2 linked regions of the Mus musculus genome follow. The protein of the gene in region 2 interacts with the protein of the main gene of each other region in a pairwise test. Links are inferred from orthologs where the notes say so. Each region holds a gene or a part of one and is shown on either strand. Other genes may lie near its edges.

Region 1 (4,096 bases), on a different chromosome or scaffold from region 2:
TGGGAAGATGCAGGGAATACAGGCTCCTGTTAGAACCATCACTATCACAAAATAAAACATTTTAAATGTGAATTTTAATGCTGAAGATTGGGAGGGAAAGCACTGTGGGCAACAAAGGTCACTGGAGTAGGCTACTGGGAGCCTGAACCACCTTTGCTGTCATCTCCAAGAACCACCAAAAGCTAGAGCCACCTCCAAGGTGGCTCATGGCTAGCAAGGGAGAGCTTGTCTGATGTGATCTGACAATGGATCTGCTCACTCTTGGTTTCCATGTGGTGCTCCACACATGCATACACACGCGCGTACACACACACACACACACACACACACACACACACACACTCACATACACATGGTGGTTAGGAGAGGTCACTGTAGACACCATGTGTCTATGTCACCCTACTGAAGAATCACTGCATCCTAGTACTTGGGCTCTGCTTTCTGTGCTCTGCACAAGTGTCCTGGTCTCCCTGCTTTCTAATGCCTTCTATACAGACTTTTGTCTCAGACCAGAGGGCTAAGGGTCAGGGGTCCCTGGAGGCATGGTGCTTTTACACTGCCCCAGTGGACAGTGGAGGGAGAAGACATCAGAGCAGCAGAGCCAAAGAAGGGCCTGGGACAAACTGATTCAGCACCCAGAACAGCTTCCCAGCTTCTTCTGCCCATGACATCAAAATCTGATCTTTTCCCTTCCTTTCCCATGCTCCATACAGGCACACACATTATCCTGGAGTTCTTCTATGCATGCTCATAGCAGGTACAAGAAGCATGTGCAGAATAATGCACTCAACACACACACTCAGATACAGATATTTTACACACACACACACACACTCAGATACATTCATACATACACACACACTCACACACACACTCACACACATGTTCACACACAGACTCACCCATGCACACAGACCCCCCCTCACTTGCATATGCACACACACACACACACACACACACACACACACACACACACAGATGATGCATGTGCTCCGTCTGTGAACACAATTCTGCATTTTCTAAGTTTTCATCAATGAATGAAGATGACTTCCAAATGAAAACTAGAGTTACAGCGAGCAAACACAGACAGGGCTAACTGCAACAAGGGTCTGTCACAGCCGGCCGGCCAGTGCTTTCTCCAAAATACCAAGATGGAGGCAGAGGAACCGCCCCTGACTGAAGGGGAAAGGACAGCCAACACAATCAGGAGTTTTGACCTGGCTCCTGGGCTAGGGAAAGGATATTAGTGGGGAAATGAGCAAATAGAACAACAATGGTCAATGGCAGAGTGCTAACTTTAACTTCCTGGTTTGGAGAGCCCTGTGGGGTTCCGAGTGAGGAGCAGACTTCCTATGCTGCCGCTATGGCTTTAGGAGAAATCTAAAACTATTTAAAAATAAGTCAAGAAAATCAAATCAATGACAATGACCTCATCCCCTCAAAGTCCCAGGACACCATGAAAGTACTTTTCCAGGAATCCAACTGCAGGGGACAACTGTCAGCACCTCTAGTGACAACTCTCTACCTGGCTGCTCTCCTGCCTCAGGAATCCAGCCTTCTTCCAGGGAGTGACAGGCCTAGACCCCTCCCTCCTCTGGCCAGGACAGTGTGCTGCATTCTAAAAAATGCCCCCAAACCTCTCTCCAGCCACAGAGACCCCTGGGAGGTAGCCACTCCTCTGATGATGATTTGCGTGACTGGCAAGCTCAATAGAATGTGGCAGAGCCATCCTGTCACCCATGCGACTGTTCCAAAGTGAGGCCCACACCCAGGGCCTGGCACACAGCTCAGGATCTGATCAGCTTGGCTGGATGCCCACGTTTGTGGGGGACTGGTGCTAGAAGAAACCTGCCTCTTAGGTGGAGTCTCTATCAAGGCCACCCACCTGTGGGACCCACAAGGACGCTTCCCAAGAATGGCTGTTGTTTAAGCAATTTGCCTAAAGGTCACTCAATGGGACCTAACCTTCCATGAAGACCAGAAGGGAAAGCGTTGGCCACACCCATTTTATGTAACCTGTCCTACTCCAAGTCTTCCTCCCCGCCCAGAGGCAGCATGGTCAAATTCAGGGCTAGGAAGAAAATTTCACCCACAAACTAGATATTACAGGAGGCGTGGCAGGGAGTAGGGGAGGTGGATAGTAGCAGGAGCCAGCTGAGGAAATACTGAATGCATTGCCGAGTGCTGGCAGGGTTCAGCGCCTAGTTCTGCTCTGCCGTGTCCCAGAGTCGGGCAGCAACAAGTTTCCCAGAGTCACCTGGGCGGTTCAGATTGTTTTATGGACGATGCTGTCATGAGCTCCCTTCGGCAGGGAACACACGTAAATCAAAGTTCAAAGTCAGCTGATGTGATTTGAGAAAATACTGGGAGACCTTCTTTCAGAAGGCCCTTTAGAGAGACCCCTAGTTCTTTGAACTTTAGTAAAGTACAAACAGCTAGGGGGAAAGAAACCAGGCAGTAGAAGTTTCTTAGAGGTCTGGATAGTCTAGAAGGTGGCTGGACCCCTCCAGCAAGAAAGTGGCCTGGGGATTAGCTCCTCATCCTTTGGGAAAGAGGAAAACTTGCTCTAGAGGAACCCAGCCTGGGAAACCCACAGGGAAAGAGGGAGCCTGAAGTTAACTGCCAGCGAGGTTCCCTGCCGGGTCTGCCCCTCCCTCCCCGCAGGTGGGGGCAGTCAACTCACCAGCTCCGGTAGGAAGAAGGCAAAGGGGATGGTGAGGAACAAGGCGGCGACCCCCGAGGGCACGTCAGGCGGGGCGTAGCTGGTGGCCGGCGGTGTGTCCCGGGAGGCCATGCTGTCACCTCTGCTGGCGTCTTTACTCCGTAGCACTCGCCTGCGCCCGCAGCTGTTCAAGAATCACCTCCCGCCCGACAGACAGACACACCCATCGGTCGGAGGGACGTCGCCTGGGAGGGGAAAAGAAAGGTTCCAGTAGAGCGGGGGCCCTTCTGTGCACTGTGCTAGCCAGGAGAGGGGACAGGACCAGCCTCGCAGAGGGTCTTTCTAGACTTTCCCTGCTAAGGAACTTTGAATGCTGGAGCAAAGGACTCCAGAAGAGATGAAAGGAACAGCTTTGTATGTATGCTCCTGGTGATCTCTATGCTCAGAGTGTAAGCAAGGGCTCTTTTGCTAAGATAAAGATTGTTTACTGAGGACCTACTGTGTGGTTAGCCACCTTCAGACACTTCTGAAGTTCAGATAGACCACCACCACGTGGCTTTGTTGTACCTTTCCAGTTAAGGTCACAGAGTGGTCACAAAAGCAGCATCTGCTTTTGTCCTCAGAGTCTAAATGAAGGATTGGAGCAGCCTGGTTTTCACCTCCCTCCTCAGGTACTCTGAGTCCCTCTTGGGTCCTCCTCTCACTGTCGTTCTAGTCCAGCTAGGACACAGGGTTGGGACCAGGCAGTTCCTTCCTGCTTAGAGCCTGGGGCTGGCTGCTTGGCTGTGCTTCCAGACCCAAAGCTCTTCCTTTCACACAACGCCAGGCAGGGCTGGAGACTGGGCCACCTTCTTCTTTAACAACCCACTAACCTTGGTTTGTTTTCCCACCGCCCTGAGGGAAGGCCTGGCGCCCCAGAGCCTTCTTCCTCCCCTCTTCGGCTCCAGCAGGCCAGTTGAAAAGCCTCCTCAGGAGTAGGAGAGGAGGCATGGAAGAGTTGTCCCAAGGACTGGGGGATGTCCTGCACAAGAGCCCTGTGTCTTGTTCCTTAGCAACAGCAGGGAATTCCAGGGCCTGTCCTGGGCAAGGTGGGAGGAGTAGCTGGTTCGCTCTGCCTGGTCTGGAGCAGCCAGCAGAGTCTGGATACATGAAGCTTGAAGCCAAGGCATTGCAGGGAAAGGCAAAGATCTTCCCAGCAAGCTTCCAGACAGCCTGTCCTCAACCTTTTCCAAGTCCTAGAGCGTATAGTTCACAAGCTCAGGCCCCCACACTGCTGACAGAATGGATCCAAAGCCACCCACCTTTTCTGAATGTCACACACAAGTGCTATGTCTCTCTTTGGGGCTGTGGCCCCCTTGGATGTGACCATAATCTACATGGGGCGTCAGGGAAGATGGGGCAGGGTAAGAGGTACACACAGGTTCCAGGGATTGA
Region 2 (4,059 bases):
GGGAGTGTGTGAAGAGGTGTGGGGAAAGCTTAAGTAACGATGGTCAGTTCTGTCTAAGCATGTTGAGTCTTTACTACAAATCATTCGTGCTTTACAATGCTCAGAGAAACAAGACCATGGGTGTCCAGCTCAAATCAACTTTTGTAAATCAAAGCAACAAAGACATAGCATTTCCAAGGATAGTTTTTACACTTTACACTTTGCTTTCCTCAGACAGTTTGCTAGTAGTGCCATTCCCTTTAAAACAGTTATCAATGATTGTTTTAAAGTTAATTTGTCTTTATAGAAATGTAGATTAATAACTGATCCAAGACAAAAGTAAGGTTTCCTAAAAAGACTTTCAGAGGCAATGAGACCAATCAAGAAGTAATTGGCTCTAGTCATGTCACCATTCCTGGATCTTCCTGTTAGGGAGAGCCTTCTGTCAACTCTTAGACTTGTATCTGAATCTAAAATAAATGAACCTAGGGTGACTCATACACAGATTGACCATTTCTTTCTGAGAGAGACACAGTTAACAGAATAGTCCTTACATGTGTTTGCTCATTGGTTGATATGCTATTTATAACTGGCAGATGCATAAAAGCCTTGCAAATGCAACATTAAAATCCTAGTGGCAAATACACTTACCCCAAGTGCTATTGCTGCATCTTTAACATTGCTTATTGCTGCTCCTAGAGCTGGATTTACCGTTGGCACATTTTCTCGACCCAGCTGTGTGTTAGGGAAGATTCCTGGAGATGTAATGAAGGAAACTTGCCCAGTCTGTACTTGGTTTCTTACGTTTAAAAAATTCAGAGGTTGTGGAGGATGAGGAGCCATGGATCTTGTTGGTGGGCAAGGATTTGGAATGCCACGCGTTCCAGGGTAGGTAGTCTGGGAAGATGTCATTATGTCACCTAAGCAGTACAAAACATACAGAAATAACACATTTACCAGGAAGAGAAATTAAAGGACATCTTGTCATCAATTTTTATGCAAATAGGAGAGAGAGCAAGTGAGCACATACTGGCTAGTGACAAGAAATAGATGCAGTTTCTAAGACTAAATATTACTCCAGCTATTTTTAGTCTCCAACTTGATACTTCACTTGAGTAGCTTTCTCAATTAAATTTCTGTTAGCCTGTATCTATGCTGTAAAAGGATAGATGTTGCCATTCAAATGGCCAGAATAAAGGTTGAATGATGACAATTTTCATAAAGCCATTGTAAGAGTTCCCAGCATAGGTCAAGAGCTTGGTGATGGCAGTGACTATTGTGTTATTAGAACCCATCTTATTTCTTATTATCTTATTTCAAATAGAGGATGCGTGTCCATTTGGTGAAATGGGTTGAACTTCAAAAGGTCAATGCCAAGAGCAAGGAGACAGGAGATGGGTGTATAAAGTCAGAACAAGAATTTTCCTGGGCTTTAAAAAGTATAGAATTAAATGATTGTTCTATGAGAGGGGAAGGAGAGGGAGGGACACACACACACACACACACACACACACACACACACACAGTGTGTATTTTTTGTCTCTGATAACTTTGCTAGGGAAATTTTAAGACTTCTTATCTGTGATCTAGTTTTTGAACATGGAAGTTTCACATGGAACACAGACTATTAATACCTAACTCTGTAAAACACATCTCAGGATGGATTTGTGCCCAAACTGCTGAAGTTTTAGAAAATGATTAGAAAATGACCCAGTTCTACATTTTTTGGTTCATATGAAAATGACCTAGTATGTAGATGTGGAAGTGATGCCAGGGAAACAGGATTAAGTGATCCTCCAATCAAAATGAAGATCCAAACTGATCCTTCAATCAAAATGAGGACCCAAACAGATCCTCCAGTCAAAATGAGGATCCACATAAAGGGAAGACAGTCAGCTCAGTGCTGAGTCTATTGTCATAGTTTTGTTTCTTTTCTTTTCTTCTTCTTTTTTTTTTTTAAAGGAGTTAGCACATTTTTTTCTCTTAGCAAATGATAAGCTATTTACAACCAGCTTTTTTCTGAAAAATGAGAACTAACAACCATTTTCAAGCACACAAACACATAAATAAAAACACCAAAGTTCTGGTGAATTATAAAGCATAAGGACTATAGCAATAGGAGAAAAACCAGCTGGTGAACTAATCCAAGTAAAGATGGGAAAATATGACTGTAATTTCTTACCACCTCCTTTCCACCTTTGTTTGAAAAGAAGGAAAATGATACTATTGTTTAGAATGTATTATATAGCATATAATGAAACATCACAGTGACTCATAGACACTTCCAACCGAATCATGCAGGACATATGTCTGAAAATATCATCTTTCAGCAAATATTAAAAAATGCTGACCCAGTGAAGGGTGATTTCCCAGTCTTCATTTTCCATAAAGAAGCCTCTTTAGTGAATCATATTCAGAAACTGTGTGTTTCAGTGTCTCTGTTATGCGTGGACCCTCGATCACGACACTGTCACCAAGGGTTCCTGCTTGCCGGTTACTATTCATGGAATTTCATACATGTGTATCCACTATCCTTAGCATTAGATTTACACACATGGGTATGTGTCTATAGATTCGCTTGAAGTGCCTTTAGTAGTAATTGTCTTGTTTCTCTCCGGGTTTCTCTTTCATTCGTCAACTGTCTCAATACAGATTTAAGAATTGGCTTCACCTCTCCCACCCAGAGAGTAGAATGTGGCAGCAAACCCACCCAAACAGATCAGCCCCGTTCCATACCCACCGAGAAAGGCAGGGTGGTTTCAGTGGACCTATGCAGCTTCCCAGAACCTCTGGGCTCTCTCTTTCTCAGCTATATGTTCTGCTCTGATCTTGGATATTTATCTGGGATTTATAAGTGCCTTTACTTCCTTGCTTCAAGCGAGCCTATCCTATCTTTATATAGTTCCAAAGTCCTTTCATTAAGCACTTTCACCCCATTTGTAAATTTGAGAATGCGTTGTAGTTTGTATTTATGCAGGGAAGTGTGTTCTGACTCACTTATGCTGGGAAGTGACACTTCCAGACACTTCTTGTTCCTTTCTCCAGCCCCTTAGCTTTCTGACCCTCACTAAAGCAGTGCCACACCACGTTCTAGTGCCTTTTAAACCAGACAAGTACAACTGTAAAACACAGACAATGAAGAACAGAAAGAGGAGGAGTAAAAGTGCCTGCACTCTGGACACCTGGACACTGCTACTGAGGATAATTCATCAGGATTCGCAAACTTTCGTGTGCCAGGATTCGTGTTACATACAGATGTACATGGTGTTGTAAAGACTCACCAAATTAAGGTAGATTGTGTAGGTTTTCTATACTACACCCTTTTAACTTACCATTTTATTAATACCTTTACAGGTCAATCAACCCTTATAATTCTCAATACTGTTATGTTATAATTTTGGAGGCAGTCTAACTATTCATGTTCATTTGTGTCTTAGAGGTGCAAACAAGTGTCCTAAGAACAGAGATCCAATGTATATTCTTGCCTTCAAAAGCCCCATGGCTGTCAAGTTTCACATGTGGTGAGATCCATTGAGCAAGTGGGATCAGTGTCAATTCTTTTCACACACACACACACACACACACACACACACACCACTACCACCACCACTACCACCACCACCACCACTACCACCACCACCACCACCACCACCACCACCACATGAATGGTTAGGAAAGAATGGTTTTTGAAAATATTGTTTTTATTTATTCTTTGAGAATTTCATACAATATATGCTCATATAATATATATGGAAAAGAATATTTTATTCTTTTTTTCCTTTCCCAAATCCTCTCAGGTCCCCATCACCTCCCCAACCACCCGACTTCATGTTCTTTCTCTCTCTAAAAATGGATAGCCAACCAACCAACTGTGGAGTCCAAGTAGGTCAACTACTCCTGAACATGTGGCCTGTCCTGGAGTATGGTAGATACCAAGGGCCATTCGGTTGAGGAAAACATATTTCCCTTCTCCTAGCAGCATCAATCGTGACTAGCTTCCTGGCTAGGAGTAGGACTTTTTAAAAGAGTTTGCTTTTAAATTATCTTTGTGTATTAATGGTGGTTTCCTTTCTCTTTTGG

The links. The genes of interacting proteins can lie anywhere in the genome.
Region 1: the proteins of Ms4a12 (region 2) and Mall interact in binary tests that used the Homo sapiens proteins (3 or more experiments, as listed by UniProt). The two-hybrid records come from large-scale screens. The link is inferred for Mus musculus from reciprocal best matches to the Homo sapiens genes MS4A12 and MALL.

Annotation. Positions count from the first base shown.
Region 1 is NC_000068.7:127,727,073-127,731,168, forward strand, and holds the start of Mall (MAL-like protein), read right to left. Parts: upstream 2,826-4,096; 5' UTR 2,795-2,825; coding exon 2,684-2,794; intron 1-2,683.
Region 2 is NC_000085.6:11,229,650-11,233,708, forward strand, and holds the start of Ms4a12 (membrane-spanning 4-domains subfamily A member 12), read right to left. Parts: upstream 2,805-4,059; 5' UTR 2,720-2,804; intron 900-2,719; 5' UTR 892-899; coding exon 631-891; intron 1-630. UniProt on the Homo sapiens protein: May be involved in signal transduction as a component of a multimeric receptor complex.